4 linked regions of the Arabidopsis thaliana genome follow. The protein of the gene in region 1 interacts with the protein of each later gene in a pairwise test. Each region holds a gene or a part of one and is shown in the gene's direction. Other genes may lie near its edges. The genes, in order: GRF4, AN3, GIF2 and GIF3.

The links.
Region 2: the proteins of GRF4 (region 1) and AN3 interact in binary tests that used the Arabidopsis thaliana proteins (3 or more experiments, as listed by UniProt).
Region 3: the proteins of GRF4 (region 1) and GIF2 interact in binary tests that used the Arabidopsis thaliana proteins (3 or more experiments, as listed by UniProt).
Region 4: the proteins of GRF4 (region 1) and GIF3 interact in binary tests that used the Arabidopsis thaliana proteins (3 or more experiments, as listed by UniProt).

What each region holds. Positions count from the first base shown.
Region 1 is NC_003074.8:19,615,463-19,620,207, reverse strand, and holds GRF4 (growth-regulating factor 4), read left to right. Parts: upstream 1-1,700; 5' UTR 1,701-1,939; coding exon 1,940-2,171; intron 2,172-2,268; coding exon 2,269-2,463; intron 2,464-2,760; coding exon 2,761-3,058; intron 3,059-3,613; coding exon 3,614-4,031; 3' UTR 4,032-4,231; downstream 4,232-4,745. Other genes in the region: AT3G52905 (Polynucleotidyl transferase, ribonuclease H-like superfamily protein), read left to right, coding at 4,737-4,745. UniProt on the Arabidopsis thaliana protein: Transcription activator that plays a role in the regulation of cell expansion in leaf and cotyledons tissues.
Region 2 is NC_003076.8:10,646,905-10,651,938, reverse strand, and holds AN3 (SSXT family protein), read left to right. Parts: upstream 1-1,876; 5' UTR 1,877-2,318; coding exon 2,319-2,399; exon of another isoform or gene 2,400-2,551; intron 2,552-2,563; exon of another isoform or gene 2,564-3,397; coding exon 3,398-3,474; intron 3,475-3,553; coding exon 3,554-3,638; intron 3,639-3,718; coding exon 3,719-4,108; 3' UTR 4,109-4,472; downstream 4,473-5,034. UniProt on the Arabidopsis thaliana protein: Transcription coactivator that plays a role in the regulation of cell expansion in leaf and cotyledons tissues.
Region 3 is NC_003070.9:70,394-74,657, forward strand, and holds GIF2 (GRF1-interacting factor 2), read left to right. Parts: upstream 1-1,963; 5' UTR 1,964-2,189; coding exon 2,190-2,276; exon of another isoform or gene 2,277-2,521; coding exon 2,522-2,623; exon of another isoform or gene 2,624-2,693; coding exon 2,694-2,770; intron 2,771-2,893; coding exon 2,894-3,002; intron 3,003-3,094; coding exon 3,095-3,347; intron 3,348-3,428; coding exon 3,429-3,490; 3' UTR 3,491-3,703; downstream 3,704-4,264. Other genes in the region: AT1G01150 (Homeodomain-like protein with RING/FYVE/PHD-type zinc finger domain-containing protein), read right to left, coding at 447-575, 648-1,328, 1,549-1,605; AT1G01170 (ozone-responsive stress-like protein (DUF1138)), read right to left, coding at 3,712-3,857, 3,945-4,050. UniProt on the Arabidopsis thaliana protein: Transcription coactivator that plays a role in the regulation of cell expansion in leaf and cotyledons tissues.
Region 4 is NC_003075.7:355,365-359,841, forward strand, and holds GIF3 (GRF1-interacting factor 3), read left to right. Parts: upstream 1-1,980; 5' UTR 1,981-2,310; coding exon 2,311-2,394; intron 2,395-2,726; coding exon 2,727-2,803; intron 2,804-2,904; coding exon 2,905-3,013; intron 3,014-3,088; coding exon 3,089-3,362; coding exon of another isoform or gene 3,363-3,436; coding exon 3,437-3,564; 3' UTR 3,565-3,973; downstream 3,974-4,477. Other genes in the region: AT4G00840 (DHHC-type zinc finger family protein), read right to left, coding at 119-235, 314-379, 467-552, 667-793, 901-992, 1,088-1,286, 1,553-1,741; ATOZI1 (monopolar spindle protein (DUF1138)), read right to left, coding at 4,184-4,329, 4,408-4,477. UniProt on the Arabidopsis thaliana protein: Transcription coactivator that plays a role in the regulation of cell expansion in leaf and cotyledons tissues.

The sequences.
Region 1 (4,745 bases):
ATGTATAACCTAATAACCATGTAGGTTAAAGTTTAAACAAGATATATATAAAGTTAGTCTAGATAATCAACATTTGTTTGGTTGTTTTGTTACCATTAGTATTACTGCATCTGCATGTAATCTTTGTTCGTGTTCATGATTGAAAAAAGACATACAATATGTCATTACGTTCACACTTTGCTTTCAGTTTGTTTTCCTTCGATATCATTATCTTTGGTATATGACAAGTTCTGGCCCAAAATATTAGTGCACAGGATCCATTATTACTTTATTAGTTAAGACCCATCATTAGTGCACAAGATCCATTATACTATCAAGTATCAACAAAAAATATTTCTATTTTAGAGGCTAATATTTTGTTTAGGCCATTTGCGAAATATTTTTTCTATTCTAAAAAAAAAAACGTAAAATGTTTATTAAATTCAGTTGCCGCTTTATACTTGTTACAAAGATTTTTGTTTTTCAAAAAGGAAAATTTTACAAAGTCAAAAAGAACCTATGGTATATTTTGAAAACAAAGTTTATTTTGGGTGTTATGTTATGATATTCCTCTTCTTTTTTATTTGGTTCACAAGATTTACAGCAAATGAAGTGTACATAACATTGAACTGTACTTAAGGAATTGAGTTTTTCTTATATTTTTCTTAGTGCAAATATAAATGCCGCCGAAACTGGTGGGAATGAATGAAAAGAAAACTCAAGAAACTCTCTCAATAGTCATCATAGTCTTTGGTTGTGGCTCACTCCTACATGAAATATCGTTATCGTCCTTCTCATATTTATTACTTTATTTCCTCAAAACTACAAAATAATGCTATCGTTTTTTGTTTTGGCACCACCAAATAAAGATACTTTGAAAATCATAAATGTCTTTTGTATTATTCAGCCAAGTGAAGATATCAAATAAATGTTTCTAACTTCATTTTAACAAATGTTTCCAAGTTTACTTGGCCTTTTCTGGTAATAATATGATTCCCTCCTTTCGATGTGTTTAGATATGTACATATACTACTAGCTAGCCATGTCTTTTTAAGATAACACAAAGATAAATGTCCATTTCTACATTTATATAAGGAAGTTATAATTTTTTTTTAATAAATCAAACAAACACAGACGTTACATAATATTTTATGAGTAACAATAATATTGTAACAGATGAGAAAAGTAATGACGGTTACAAATTAAAAGACAAATATGGTTAAACCACTAAAATGGTAAAGTATTTGGAAAACTTACTAACCAAAGAGAGTAAATAGAGCTGAGATTGTATTGTAGCTCTCTGCAAATGGAGACTATTTAGTCAAAACCCAAATGATTAATCATGCTTAGAAGTTAGAATCTCATACATTTGTAACACAATCTCTGAGACAAATGACATCTGTAAGACAAAAATTGAAGGTTACTCTACATCACATTAAATGAATCCTTAATAAAAAAACATAATAACAATATCATAATAGGCATCTCTTTAACCTACTTAAGGAATATTAAAATGAGGTAAAAAAAGGAAGTGATATTTCCAAGGCAGTGAGACATAAACACTGCAGGTTACTATCTCTCCATCTGCATCTTGCAGTGCTTTCTCTCTTTGTTTTCTGACTTACATAATTTTTATATCACATAAAGTAACAATTTATTAAACCTATCAATCAAATATTATATACTAATTTTGTTTATCCTATCAACTGTCTTGTCTCATAGTCTAAACACTTTTCTCTAGCTCTCTCTAACAAAAGAGTGAAGAAGAAAAAGTTTTTTATTTTGGGTATTTACATGACAAGCCAAACAAATAAGACTTTTGTTGTGGTTGTCTTTGCTTATTAAGCCAGACTCTCTAAAAACAAAAGAAGTGAGGGTAAAAAAACTATCCCAAAAGCAACCAACACATTTCTCTGTCTGTCTCTCTTTCTCTCTCTCTCACTCACTCTCTCTTTGTTCCATGGACTTGCAACTGAAACAATGGAGAAGTCAGCAGCAGAATGAGTCAGAAGAACAAGGCTCTGCTGCAACTAAGATATCAAACTTTTTCTTTGATCAGATTCAGTCCCAAACTGCTACTTCTGCTGCTGCGGCTCCTCTTCCTCTCTTTGTCCCTGAACCCACTTCTTCCTCTTCTTTCTCTTGCTTCTCTCCTGACTCTTCTAATTCTTCTTCTTCTTCCAGGTTCCTCAGTAAGTTGTTTTAAAAGGACAAGACTTATTCACTCTAATGTTGAAGTTGTTTTTGCTGATATTTAATCTGACGTTTCTATGTTACATATATATGTAGAGATGGGAAACTTCTTCAGCTGGGCACAGTGGCAAGAACTTGAGCTACAAGCACTGATCTATAGATACATGTTGGCTGGTGCTTCTGTTCCTCAAGAGCTTCTCTTACCTATTAAGAAAAGTCTCCTCCATCAATCTCCTATGCATTTCCTTCACCATCCTCTTCAACATAGTTTTCCTCATCACCAACCTTCTTGTCAGTCTCTCTCTCCTCTCTATTGTTTATGCTTCTCTTATCCTTGAAATAGTCTTTCTTTGTAAAAAAGATTCCCTTTGTTTTGGTGTTGGAGTTATATTTCCAAGATCTAAAATAAGTATAAGGCTGCTCTGCAACCTTGCAAGGAGTTAAAACCCTATGTGTATGATAAGCCTATTTCTAGAAGATCTATTAGCAACATAGATAGAATCAGACAAGTACATTTCGTAACCAATGTCTTGAGTGAGATTTATGTTTGTTGTTACTAATGAACAACACACACTTAATAAAAAACAGGGTATTGGGGAAGAGGAGCAATGGATCCTGAGCCAGGGAGGTGTAAGAGAACTGACGGCAAGAAATGGAGATGTTCAAGGGATGTTGTAGCGGGCCACAAGTATTGTGACCGCCACATTCACCGTGGAAGAAACCGTTCAAGAAAGCCTGTGGAAACCGCCACAACCACCATCACAACGACAGCCACAACAACCGCATCTTCTTTTGTCTTAGGTGAGGAGCTTGGTCATGGACCAAACAACAACCACTTCTTCTCCTCTGGTTCATCTCAACCTCTCCACCTTAGTCATCAACAAAGGTACAATAAAAAAACACAAACACTCTGTTTAATTAAAGTCATTAGTAGATTTGGTTAATTACAAATATTGTTGTTAGGGAAATAGTGATTTCACTGTGAAGTAATGCTGTGAAGAAAGGGGTAATGTTGGCAATAGGGTGACAAGAGAGACTTATCATACATACTTTGTGATAAAAACATTATTCTTTCTTTTGTTGAGAGATAATGATAACAGTTGGATTTGATAGAATCTAATTTTATTTACTAGTTGGGTGAGACTTTTCAATCATAGAAATAGAAAAGAGAGAGAAAGTTAAAGAGATATGTATACTTATGTTGTATTTGAAATAATGACATGGTAGGACCTCAGTGAAAGCTGACCAAACCTGCATAGAAGCCAAACAAAATAAAGCTCTCAGATTCTGCAACCACTTCCTCTTATTAACACACACATTTGACTGATTAAATTATTTCTCTAACCATTTTGTTGAATTGATCAGTCTACTTATTATTGTTCAAATGTTGGATCTTTTTGTTGACAATGTTTATGTTTATGTTTATTCCTCTCTGTCACAGTTGTTCTTCAGAGATGAAACAAGAAAGCAACAACAACAAGAGGCCATATGAAGCTAACAGTGGATTCAGCAATGGAAGATCAGACGATGGTCACATCTTGAGGCATTTCTTTGACGATTGGCCACGATCATCAGACTCTACCTCCAGTCCAATGAGCTCATCCACTTGTCATCTTTCAATCTCCATGCCCGGTAACAACACGTCCTCAGATGTTTCTCTAAAACTTTCCACAGGCAATGAAGAAGAAGAAGAGAACATGAGAAATAACAACAATGAGAGGGAGCAAATGAATTGGTGGAGCAATGGAGGGAATCACCACAACAATATGGGAGGACCATTAGCTGAGGCTTTGAGGTCAGCTTCTTCGACGTCAAGTGTTCTTCATCAGATGGGAATCTCTACTCAAGTTTTTCATTAAAGAAAAGTGTTTGTAATCTTTTTGGTTTGTGCTCTTTGAATCTTTATTTTCTGCAGAAAATAATCTTTGAATTTGTCTTCTTTTGGAATTGTGAGTTCTGCTTTTGGAATTGTTTTGTTCCTTACTCTGCTATTATATTTATGTTTAAAGCTTGACAATTTTGTATAAGCAATGAAACTAATATGATCCTCTGCCTGCAAGTAAGTACAGGAGAGGTGGTTACTTGAGCTTTTCACTTAAGCTAAACCGAATCAATTTTGGGAAACCAGTTAAACCACCTCGAATTAACCGGTTCCCGGTATAATGTAAAACCAAAACCCTGATAATCACCGGCATCGTATAGATTGATTAGACGGTGAAGTCTCGAACTTAACCGGAATAAACCTTTTCCGGTCCATCTCTAATTCACAATCTTGGGGTTTGTGCTTGCTTGCTTCAATCGCGAAGACATTTAGCAGAACCATTTGTCGTTTCCTCTCGCCAGATTCCGTGCTCCGGAGCCAGAAAGTTTCCGCCTTTAAAGTACGTCAAGATTTAAACTTTCTGATTAATTTCTAAAACCCTTTTTCGAAATGTTTGTTTGATGGTCTGATTAAAGTTTTTTTTGTACAATAATTCTCAAATTTATGCAATTGATATGTGAATTTTTAGTCTTGATTTGAACAAGTGTTTTGGAAGTTTGATTCACTTACTTTTGATCAGGAAATGAAGTAT
Region 2 (5,034 bases), on another chromosome or scaffold:
TCACATTAACTATAAAATTTATGGCTGTTATATAGAAAATAAGGTAGTATAAAATTAATGTCGTAAAAATTTAATATTTCTTTTAGGTATTAACCAAAATGAATTGATCATTTGTAAGCGTTTCAGAATCCTACCTTTAACTTCATAATCTCAATTTACAGTATGCAAACAACTATATTGGTCTGATAAAAAAGAAGAAATGGTATTTTTAGTTTTGTTCCTAGTGTTTTTGGTTTGCTTTTAGATGGCATAGAAACACTATTGGTTTGGTTATTGTCTATAAGACATAATTAATCGGGAAAAGAAAACAATTCATTTATCCTTACAGATTACTTTAATGTTCATACATAATACTATAGTTAAACAAACAAACATTAAAAGTTGAGCCTCCGTGGTTCATATATGCAGAAGGAATATCTCGGATCCATTTTTGGTACCAACGAATAAAGTGTTAATTAATATTTAACCACATCTACAAGAGGGTTTAACGTGGAATTAAGTATAACCACGCAAAGATAATATAGCTGTTGAATCTTTTTCTTTTTAAATTACCGACCATCGAAACGTACTTCAAGAATTCGAACAAAAAGTTAATGAGACTTATCAAATAACTCCAAACTAATTATTATTATTTTCTTTACAAAAGCATTTCAAAAACTTTAGAGACCCTTTGGTTGAGAATCATCAATATTAAACATTCAAACCAAGTTAGGGCAGTGTTTTGATGGTCGATAACTCGTCTTATTGGTCGAGACAAGTGATCGAGTTAGTATTAACATATGTAAAAAAAAAGAAACATGTATTGATCATTGTTGAGGATAAATTTCATCTATTAAGATATCAGTCAATTATAATGTGTTACGTGATTCGATAAAAAAAAAAGACCAAAAAAAAAAAGAAGATAACTATTGGTAAGCGTAAGAAATGTGTTTACATTTTGGCATTTTGCCAAAACACATAAAGATGGTTAGTGATGAGACGAGACGAGTCATGCGCTACTTTTAAAACAAAATGAAAAACATCATTAAGCTAACAAACCAAACACACTTGTTTTGATAACATGTTCTAGGGAACTAGTTATGCCAAATCTAATCCGCATAAGAAGACTAAGTCACAACATAATTCAGTAATTTGGTTGAGATTAAATCCTATAAATATGATTTTAAGGTATAAGAGAGAAGAGACTCTTTTGATCAACACAATCAAACATCTACAAAGAAAATTATCTCACATAGCTACTTCTTAATCTAATTTTTTCATTAATCCATTTTATTTTAAATGTGAAGAATCGCATCTAGATGTGACCTCTCATGATAAAAAATTAAACCATTGTAAAAAAAATGTTGTGTAAAACTAAATATAATAAATTATTAAAAAAATACAAATTCAATCCACTAGGTTAAAAACTCCTATGTAGAACATTTTTTTATATTAAAATGTAAATACATGAATCTTATTTTTCGAAAAACTAAAGACATCTTTTTTTTATATATTAATTACCAAAACAAAATAAGACGACAAAAATATTCTTTGATATAGTAAAAGAAAACTAGAAAACTAGAAAACAATAAATTACCAAAACAATCTAGAAAACAATAAATCCTACTTTGCATTACTTTATTATAAAATCCCGAAATGAATCTATAAATGTAGAAAATATTATACAAAAGTTGTAAGAGATTTTAATATACATAATTACATATATATACAAGTAAATACACCGTATATACATACGAAGGAGTAAACAGTATTATTTGGTATATAGTTACGTCTCTATATACGAAGGGTTCAAACTTCAAAGTAATAATTTAATCAACAATGTGTACATATTGATAAGTAGTAGTATATATGTAAAGGTCTCACGTCTCTATAATAAAGTATGACTCGTCACGTGACCTCCTCTTCTTCGCAGAGACAGAGATAGGATGAGACAGAAAGAAACCAACAAAACCAAACCCCAAAACCCAAGAAAAAGAGAAAAACACTCTCTTCTCTTCTCTCTCTCTCTTTCTATTTAAGAGACTTCACTGTCTCTCTCAGTCTTTTAACGCAAAACAACTTTTGTGGAGGAGAGAAAGCGAGATAACACACACACAGAGATACACATCTTCAATAGTTAAGAGTTTTCTATATACAGAAGCATAGAGGAAAGAGAGAGAGACAGATACAAAAGTTAATATCTCTCTCTCTCACTTGGTGAGACTTCTCTTTTTCCTCTGGGTTTTGTGGTGGGGGTTGTCTCTATAAAAACTTATATATATAAAATATATAAATAAATAAGAAGGAATTATCAGGTTTTATATAAAATAGCAAAAGAAATGCAACAGCACCTGATGCAGATGCAGCCCATGATGGCTGGTTACTACCCCAGCAATGTTACCTCTGATCATATCCAACAGGTTCTCTTCTCCTTCTCCTCCTTCTCCTTCTTCTTCTATTATATTATCTCTTTCTTTTTTCTTTATTATATGTTTCTTTGAATTCATAAAGGAAAGTGAAGAAATCTCTCTTGCAAGTACCTTATAACTTTTTCTTTATATTATATAAAAAAGTATGTGAAACCCTTTTCTTCTGTTCTCATAACATAGATGATTTTTTTTCATTGGTTCTTTTTTGTTTGGTAAAAGAGTTCTTGTTATTCTTGTTTCCATGTCTTTTTTTTTCATAGAGAAATTAGTTTTAATACATGTGTGTTTATGTTTGATAAATTTGGTTGGTAGAGATGCTTTGGTCACTAAGATGATTCTTTCAACTTTTTTTCTTTTCCTTATAGATTTGGTGTATTATCAGTTAACTTTGATGCTAATTAAATGTCTAAAACCAGACAAAGTTAAGAAAGATTCTTTCTTTCAATGAAAATGAATGTTTAGGGTCCAGTTGTGTTTTGAGTTCTTGAAACATGTAATGAAAAATAACGTGTTCAAAACAGACAAATCTTGGGAACTGAAGATTTGTTTCACATATCTCGTTTTTTCTTCTTGTCTTGGTTTTCGGGTTCTGGAAGTTTCATTGATGGCAAAAACCACAAAGCCATTTATGTGAATATTGTGGGTGGTCCTGTTTAGATTTGTTATCATTATAAGTAGATCTATGTGTATTTTCCAGTCCAAGTGTTTCTTTTATTGCTTACATGACCAGATATACTTTGTGGTCCGAAACAACATCTGGTCCTTATCTCAGTTTTTTTTTTGTGTGGTCCTCAAAATCTTTTCGAAGAAAATCTTTCGTTACACTTTTGTGATATTTCAACATTATTGTCTTTTGAGATAAGTCGGAATTTAAGTTACTGGGGTCTCCTTTTGAGATTTTCTATGTCTTTATTACAACAAAAACAAAATAGTATGCAAATTTTTTGTTTGTAGCATTAGTAATGATTAATGAAAATGTTTGATTGTAGTACTTGGACGAAAACAAATCGTTGATTCTGAAGATTGTTGAGTCTCAAAACTCTGGAAAGCTTAGCGAATGCGCCGAGTAAGAGACAACATATCTCCTTTATGATTTCACTTGTGTTCTGTTGAGTAACAAGAAATGATGATTAAAATGGTTATAGGAATCAAGCAAGGCTTCAACGCAACCTAATGTACCTAGCTGCAATAGCAGATTCTCAGCCTCAGCCACCAAGTGTGCATAGCCAGGTGATTGTTTATACAGTGAAGTATTCCAAATTTTGTTGTATGATCAATTGAGAAAGTGATTTGTTTTGTTTGGTTATTAGTATGGATCTGCTGGTGGTGGGATGATTCAGGGAGAAGGAGGGTCACACTATTTGCAGCAGCAACAAGCGACTCAACAGCAACAGATGACTCAGCAGTCTCTAATGGCGGCTCGATCTTCAATGTTGTATGCTCAGCAACAGCAGCAGCAGCAGCCTTACGCGACGCTTCAGCATCAGCAATTGCACCATAGCCAGCTTGGAATGAGCTCGAGCAGCGGAGGAGGAGGAAGCAGTGGTCTCCATATCCTTCAGGGAGAGGCTGGTGGGTTTCATGATTTTGGCCGTGGGAAGCCGGAAATGGGAAGTGGTGGTGGCGGTGAAGGCAGAGGAGGAAGTTCAGGGGATGGTGGAGAAACCCTTTACTTGAAATCATCAGATGATGGGAATTGAAAGAGTGTGGCACAAGGAATCTTAATGATGAAGCAGCAGCAGCAGCAGAAGAAGTAGTAGTAATAATAGGAGTCTTGAAGTTAGTGTGTTTTGGTTTTAGTTGCTTGTTGAAGAAGCAAAGAACTCTTTATTTACTTCTTTTTAGTTTTGTTATTCTCTCTATGTTTGTTCCCTAAAACAGTGAACCTCTTTCGTGGTAGTGTACCATGTAAATCTGCTGGCTCCAAGTTGTGTCGTAATCTTAATATGTTATTTCTCTGAGTTAGACTCTTTTGCTTTAACCAGGACTGAAGTTTTGTAGATCATTGATGTTACCTATTTGGATTCTAAATCGTTATGTAGGCTATATTATTGTTTTTTTTTTCTGGCTGTTATACATAATTTTATTTTATAGTTGATAAAGTCCAACCGGTTCAGTCCAAGACTCATATGACCAGCCTTAGTGGTCCTCGCAAGGTCCCATACTGCTGAAGACCGGACCATAGCCACCCGAAGCTGCACTCAAACCAAAGACCATATTCGGGTCCATTTAAGATAAAGTCTCGTGAAGAAAAGAGGGTTTCAAAAATGTGTCTTTTGGTCCCTTTGCTTCGTCCTAGATTCTTCAAGTAGTATTGAGTGTGGATTTCCCTTAGTTGAGAGTTCCATCGACGATTGTTTTTCTAGTGTCTGGATTCCCCTAGGAGGCCAAGCCCAGCCCCTGCTTTTTACAACTCAATCACAAGCCAAGAGAAGTCTTCAGTTATTCTATTACTTCCTTCCCTTTGGCAAAACTATAAGCCTTGAAACAATATGTCACAAACACTAGTTAAATGTTTAGACCGCACCACCATAGGCCCCAAGTATGTATTTGACATGTTGGCTTCATGCCTGCTCTACTAGACTTCATTTTTGTCTAACTGGTAGTGCGCTATTTCGAAAACTAG
Region 3 (4,264 bases), on another chromosome or scaffold:
TTTCACCTTTGTTTCCGAAACATTTGGTACTTGTGCGACAAGTTATCTCCCCATAGTCTTAAAAGATTAACCTATTTTTAAGTTCTTCAAAATTATATCCATAATTCCCATATGATTCTCTTTTTCTCAATCCTCTGTTTTGTTTAAAGAAGGGTACAAAACAAAAGACTAACAGAGTGGGACGGCTACTACAAAAGACACGTTATCTTCTCTTAATATCAACATAAGGGATACAAAGCGAACATCATCTATAAGGACTACTGTTACCAAAAGATCTACACGGAGGAATCCGAAACTGCGATTACAAGGAAGGACTAACATCAAAGTCGTCACACTACTATACTGCCAATTCAAAAGGTCACTAGGATTTGTCTTAATGTTTTTGATATCAAATGCGTCATTTAATACTTCTAAGGATTTTATGGTGAAAGGAATCACATACGCACCATATTTCTCCATTTGTCCTTAAGATCGGAGGAATTACGAGTTGTGTGGAATATACCTTTTCCCATCTCCAAAATCTTCTTCCAAGGCATGTTTTTGTTGATTGTATCAGAAAATTTCTCCACTCCCTCCTATCCAAAATAAACATATACTATAAGTTTAAGCTAAAAGTGTATTTCAAGAAAAAAGTGTGGTGGTTTTACCCTCAACATCTTCTCTTCGTTGACTGTCCATAGTACCCTTTTTGGCTGATCATTAACAACAGCATAAGCTTCTCCGCAAGATTTCTCCATATCAATGAATTGATCTGTTGACTCGTCTAACTGGGAATTTCGAGCCTTAAGGTGCTTGACCAGTTCTTGTAATTGATGAAGGTTCTCATGTAGTTGCATTGGTAGTGAATTATCAGAACCATTCTCTAGTTGACTGTTTTCTCTCGTCATGACTATATCTCCACTCCTCAGCTCACTACATCCATATTGAACAAGGGTCTTCGCAGCTGCAACACCCCTTGTTCTCAAAGCCGTGGATCTAGTAGCTTGCTCCTTAAACCAACAATAGGGACAGTAAAAGGTTGCAGGATCTTCACAATCAAGCTCAACACACTTCCTGTGAACAGCGAGAGGGCATTCATTCCCAGAACAAGGTACTACACCATCGTCTGCAATATCGCATACAATACATGCGTGTTCGTTCAACGGCTCAAAGCTTCTGAAAGTGTCACTTGTCCCAAGGTAGTGGCGCTTCTTAAGAGGCACATTATCATAAGTGAAAATGTTTGGAGCAGAGTTGACGTCCTCATCACCACCATCATCACACTGAACAATACAATGAGCAATGCGCTTTTCTCTCACAAAGCCAATTTCTTCAACAATTTCACCTATCTAAGATAGAGAAGAAGATAAATCCAAGTAAGAGTGTTTACACAAAATTGAACTAAATCGACCAATTTAAGGTTATCTAAGACCAATTAAGACATAATTTGTTCTAATTACACAGTAAAAAATATCAAATTGTTCTCTAACGTATCACAAGCGACATCCGAGTAAAGACTAAAATTCGAGAAAAAATAAATTAAAGGTTTCTTCTAAAAGGGGTGCTTACATAAGGACTCTTGAGGAGAGCGATATCATCTTCATCAAGCGGGAGATCACTCACCATTTTTTTTCAGATTCCGAGTGAAGATTTGAGAAATTCGAAGGGTTTACGTGAGATTTCTTAACGAATAAGAAAAAGAAGCTACTGTATGTTACCGTTTGGTCTCTCTGTAAGTGTGTCTGAGGTTTCGAAATTTCGAATTTAGGCGAAGAAGGAAGAAACTGACTCAATGTAGTACTTTGCAATGTAACTTTCTCGATGGTCCATGGGCCTTAGAACCGTCTTAGGCCCAAATATGTCCTTTTTTCCCATTGGCCCAAATATATCCAAAACTTTCTAATTTGGTTAGAGGTTGCTCGTTGCTGTATTAATTAATGTTTTATGTTTTCGTTTAGAGTTTTGTAAAGACAAATTAGAGAGAGAGAGAGAGAGACAGAGGCATTTTTGGTCATAAAATCCACACAGAGGTGGTTCGACATCCAGGTGAATCCAAGTAATAAATTGCAGGATTCTCTCTCTATAATATATATAGATATAGCTTGCAATCATTTCCTGCGTTTGGATCGGTCTGGGTTTTGTCGAGGGTTTTTTGGGGAAGACGAAATTAGGGTTTAGTTGGGGCAAAGTAAGTAGTAAAGAAGAAGAAGATGCAGCAGCAGCAGTCTCCGCAAATGTTTCCGATGGTTCCGTCGATTCCCCCTGCTAACAACATCACTACCGAACAGATCCAAAAGGTTCCTTCTTTCTCACCCTATATCTCTCCCTCTCTCTTAATTTGTTCAACACTACTTAGGAGGCTCTTAGAGCTTTTTTGTACTGACAAAATCATTGGCTTCTGAGTGCAAGTAATACTCTTTTGACTGTAATTGGTGGCAATTAGGGTTTTCATTTGAATCTTTCTCGTTAATTCCACAACACTTGAGAGTCTGTTGTTGGTGATGATGAGAAGAGACAGTTTCTAGGACTAGGAAATTAGTAGATGCTTGGTGGGTCAGGAAACTTTGAATCCGGTTTTCAAGAATGGACATTGAAGTTAGATGCTTGCTTGATGTTGTTGTTTTGTACTTTCTCTTGGCTTGATGTCTTCCATGGTAAGATGATAGGCTGCATCGTCATTTCCTTGTCATTCTCTTTCCTTTGCTTAAACGCAGTACCTTGATGAGAACAAGAAGCTGATTATGGCCATCATGGAAAACCAGAATCTCGGTAAACTTGCTGAGTGCGCCCAGTAAGTCTCACCTTTTCTATCCATCTTCTTATGTCTCTTAGATAGTAATGGAAGCTTAGAATTACTATTATTAATGGTGAGGTTTATATAGTTATTCTATCTTTTGCTCTGTTATATTTTCAGGTACCAAGCTCTTCTCCAGAAGAACTTGATGTATCTTGCTGCAATTGCTGATGCTCAACCCCCACCACCTACGCCAGGACCTTCACCATCTACAGCTGTCGCTGCCCAGGTTGTTTGTGATGATAAAACTCAATTGCGATCTATCACAGAAATTTAATGTTGTTTGGGGGTTTGCTTACTGTTGGGTATGATTTCTGTTAGATGGCAACACCGCATTCTGGGATGCAACCACCTAGCTACTTCATGCAACACCCACAAGCATCCCCTGCAGGGATTTTCGCTCCAAGGGGTCCTTTACAGTTTGGTAGCCCACTCCAGTTTCAGGATCCGCAACAGCAGCAGCAGATACATCAGCAAGCTATGCAAGGACACATGGGGATTAGACCAATGGGTATGACCAACAACGGGATGCAGCATGCGATGCAACAACCAGAAACCGGTCTTGGAGGAAACGGTAACTCTCTTTACATTATTAAGACAATACTCAATCTCATAAATTGTAACTTGTATCCATTACTTCTTTCTTTGCTAACAGTGGGGCTTAGAGGAGGAAAGCAAGATGGAGCAGATGGACAAGGAAAAGATGATGGCAAGTGAAAAGGATCCAAAGAAGCTTTGTTTTGTTGATATTTAGGACTTGTGAGTCTCGTAAGGGCTTTTTGCAATAGCTTGTTTGAGTTTTTTAACAGAAGATAGACTGTGGAGTAGTTCCGCAAACCGTGTTGTAATGTATTGTTATTTAGTACAAGCTCGGATTTAGAAAACATCGTCATCGTTCATCTTATTCTGAAAATCAAAGCATTGAACTTATTATTTTCTCATTCCGGACGAGTCTTGACGATGAAATTCTGACGGCTAATGGGATTCATAACAACGGGAGGACCAGCGGTTCTTGGCCATGCTTGGAATTTCTCATCCGTTGCTGCCCACCATTCTTTGTTAGAGACAGTTCCTGGAGTAGTCCCTGAAATTTTCACAAGAAGATAACCATTAAGATCGTCCCTAACTTGAAAACACACACAAAACTAGATAAATCTTGAGCAGAACTTGCCTCCAAAGATCTTATTATCAGAGATAACTTTGTCGAAGATGTATGAGATTCCGAAAGAACCGATGAGAGCACCGATTATGTACTTGGCTTTACCTCCTGATGCCATTTTCTTCTAAAGCTGAAAGTGAACCATTATTACAACTTAACACTCAACTCACAAGAGGAGAAGCAACAAAGCTTATGTAAGGATTTAGTATTAAGGCCAAAAAAACACAGATCAAATTCAATTATTGAAGCTTTACTTATCAAGTTATCATATAACCAATGAAGACGGTAATTCAAAAGAAAAATAAAAGGGTTTGTAGAATAATTGATACGTT
Region 4 (4,477 bases), on another chromosome or scaffold:
TACAATAATACAACAACAATTGGCAATGAGAATTCTTTTTGAGTAGAGAGTTATCTACATTGGAGTGCAGTTGAAGGCTGTTTCGAATATGATTGATTGATTTTGTTTCAACTTTCAATCAAGGGTCGATGTCAGAACAAGTTGGAAATTCAAGGCCTTCAAGGGAAGTTATGTTATCGATATCGTCTTTAGAGTACAATGGGAGGAGCCAAAACGCCTTCTTCTTCCCAAAAACCTTCACAAGATGAAAACAAAGAGTTATATATTTAATTAACTAACAATCCATGGAATGATGAAAACAATAAAATCTCACCTGCTCGAAGTTTTTCTTCTTTCCTAAGTCATATTTCCATCTGACTTCTCCATTTTTCTCATGAACCTAAAAAAATAAGACAATGATTCAGAGAAGAGACTCATATTTTCAAGACTTAGATTGTTTGTGAAAGCAAGAACATAAAAGATTTACCTCAACTGAAGTAGTGTTGGATGAGAGAAGAGAAATATGCATGACTACGAAACAAAGAAGGCTGAGAACGAACGCAAAGTTAAGAACTGCATCAAGGGGATAGAATCTGTAAGAAACATAAAGACGGAAAATGAGACCCAGAAAAAAGCTAAGCACTTTCTGGGAAAAGGAAAACGAGAAAAAGAACCGTTTATACTCACCGAATGCCAGAACGAGAGAGGCCAGTTTACCCGGAGAAGAAGAATGCTTTATAGCTTGGCTGAAGAATTCAATGAAACTAGGAAGCAAGACAATAACATCCAACATTGTCTCAAGAAAAGTATAGAACTACAAATTAAAAAAAGAGGGTGAAGAAATCAGCAAATCAAATAATCCCAATGCTCGCTTAAACCTTTTAAGAACCATAAGAGACTACAATGGAAATGAATATTTACCAGAAAGAGAAGGAAAAACTTGTAATTGCGTGCTCCAACACAGTTTACAATCCAAACACAATGATGATCCATCTTAAGAACACATCTTTGACCTACATAAGGAAACAAAGAACCGAATAAAGCTTTCTTTCTCTATCAGTAGAAACACAAGCAGAACATAGTATAAACAAATCAGATTTCGCCTTACACACAGAACAATGATGGCAACGAGGCGGCTTAACATTCCGGCATTTGGTACAGTAACCTAAAGAGCCAAAAGCTCCTTGATCTGTCGAAGTACCAGCCTCCAAACTGTCACCACCTCCCATTTCTCTTCTGAAATGCTCAGGAACAGAACCTGGGTCTGTAAAAACTGTTGTGAAGTAGCTCCACAACAGCATTATCAGCTGCAAAGAACCAAGCAAATCAGAAGTATAATTGTAAACCTAAACTCAGGGAGCCTAAACATTTACTAACAATCAATGGTCTAAACAATGATTATGTATCTACACTGCTTCATGCTTCATAACTACATTGCATTTCTCATTCTCTTGGCTACATAAGTTTCATGCCACATCCCTAAGTTTAAGGTTTAGGGGTTAAGTAGCAGAAAACCTAGACTTACAATTCCAGAAACAAAACCTAATCTGAAATTATGAGACTTGGAAATTACCAGGAAATGGAAAACAAAGATGATTAAGGCAGCGAGGGCGGATAAAGCTCCATGGTCTCCGCGGATCAAGATCGGCCACCATGTGCTAACTACGACGGCGTAGTAAGATACACCAACGACGGCGACGACAAGAAGGATCATGAAATAGCCGAGGACTTTCAGACCGGAGCAGAACCGGAAAAGGTTCATCTCCAGCCTGGTCAAAGGGAGAATCCGGACAATTCTTCGAGTCCGAGCCGGGAACAACCGCCGTAAAATATCCGGAGCCACGGTGAGGGATCGGAGTTTGCTTGGTTCGGAGGACAACGACGAATCGCCGTCGTGGAGCTGATATTGATACAGATTTAAAGTAACCTTCTTCTTGACACAGAAGCTTTCATAATTCTTTATAAGGCCCATTAACAGGCCCAATAAATAATAACAGCTACAAATGTTGTCTTTTTTTGGTTATCGTAGAGCTGACGAAAAATCAGACAAGGTGCCACGTGTACATTCGGTGGGGGAGACAAATTAATTGGTTGGGGGACTTTTTTGTCCTACGATTTCCCAGAAACCTCGTCGGCGAAATTCAAACAAATCAAAAGTCTTAAATTTAAGGATAATCCAAAATATTCGTTTGTTGAATATTTTTGCATCAGTTTGTTTTGCATTGGGCTCTTAAACCAATTCTATCACTCAGAATTATTGTTTTGTAATAATCGTGAGAAGAAACTTTAGGGTTTCACTGTTTCAGAGTTTTGATTGGTGAATTATAAAAGATGCAGCAATCTCCACAGATGATTCCGATGGTTCTTCCTTCATTTCCGCCCACCAATAATATCACCACCGAACAGATCCAAAAGGTTACTACTTTACTTTCTATATTTTTTGTCTTTCTGTTGTTTAGTCATAATGTCTGTTTATCGTAGCTTTGAAATTGGTTGTGTAATGATGTTTTTGAGTAGTTTAAACTGTTGTAATGAACTTTCCTTCTTGAGTATGATTTGTTTTAAAGTGTCATTGTTTTCCGCTTTAACTTTTTTTTGTTACTGGAATTGGATGTACAATCATGAGTTTGGAGTTTTTTTTTGAGTGAAAACAGAGTATTTGTATGCATATGAGATTTGAAAGCTTAAAATCAGATTGTGAAGATGACATGTTGACACAGTGAGTCACTTATTGCTGCTTCTTGCAGTATCTTGATGAGAACAAGAAGCTGATAATGGCGATCTTGGAAAATCAGAACCTCGGTAAACTTGCAGAATGTGCTCAGTAAGTGTGGGATTCTCGATACCAAGACCGAGCTATGTTAGCTTTACTGATGGTAAATAGAATATTAATAATAAAACATGGTTCTTGCTTGATTCTTTTAGGTATCAAGCTCTTCTCCAGAAGAATTTGATGTATCTCGCTGCAATTGCGGATGCTCAACCTCAGCCACCAGCAGCTACACTAACATCAGGAGCCATGACTCCCCAAGCAGTAAGTTTCTGTTTTGATCAGTTGAAAAACAAAACATTTTGGTTCTTATAGTTTGTGTGTGTTTGGTTTCTGTAGATGGCTCCTAATCCGTCATCAATGCAGCCACCACCAAGCTACTTCATGCAGCAACATCAAGCTGTGGGAATGGCTCAACAAATACCTCCTGGGATTTTCCCTCCTAGAGGTCCATTGCAATTTGGTAGCCCGCATCAGTTTCTGGATCCGCAGCAACAGTTACATCAACAAGCTATGCAAGGGCACATGGGGATTAGACCAATGGGTTTGAATAATAACAACGGACTGCAACATCAAATGCACCACCATGAAACTGCTCTTGCCGCAAACAATGGTAATATTTGGTTTTACAGCAGTTTGGAACTTATTATCACATTACTGATTTTCACCTTCTTTCTCTACCAAAAGCGGGTCCTAACGATGCTAGTGGAGGAGGTAAACCGGATGGGACCAATATGAGCCAGAGTGGAGCTGATGGGCAAGGTGGCTCAGCCGCTAGACATGGCGGTGGTGATGCAAAAACTGAAGGAAAATGAAATAGAGGAAGAATAAGTGATGCTTCTTGTTGATATCAATTAGGTTCTACCTTTCATTTTTACTTTCTTCACGATGATATAAAAAAAAGGTTTTGTCATTTTATGAGTTAGTCTCTGTTAAAAGGGTTCTGAGACAGTTGAGTTTCAGTTCCTAGATGGATGTGGAATGGTTCACATTCACATGTACAATGTTAAATGTTGTTGTATGGTATTAGTGTCACCGGTTCAATTTGGTGTATGAACCGGGTTTAGAATCACGTTTACCTGATAGTTTGCCTCCAGGTTTGTGTGATAATTAATTCCAAGGCTTGAGATGAAAAGTAACAGTTTTAAAAATGTTTACAGAATCAGCGATAACAAAATTCCAAACCAAACAAACCAATAATGTCTTAGAAGTTTTTCTTTTTGGCTCGATTTCATTTATCGTCAAAATCAACAAACCTTACAAAAGTTATGCATCGGGGAAAAGCTTGATCCGAATAATGTGTTACGCATCAACACAAATTATTACTATAACCAGCTAGAGCAATCAGCCGATCCTCAAATCAAACACAAAAGAGCAGATATTCGAAAATGAATCCATAACGAATGAGAACGATGCACGAGAAGGCATCAAAAGTTATTCAGGACGTGACTTGACGATGAAATTCTGGCGACTGATAGGGTTCATGACGACGGGAGGACCAGCAACTCTTGGCCATGCTTGTAATCTCTCTTCAGTCGCAGCACCCCATTCCTTGTTAGTAATAGTTCCTGGTGTAGTACCTGAGAGTTCAAAACAAACCAAACCAAATTTAGCTTTCTGGATACATCATAAGTAGCTTTATAAGGTTTAAAACTTGCCTCCAAAAAGCTTATCATCAGAAATAACTTTGTCACACACGTAAGCTACTACCGCAGATCCCGCAAGGGC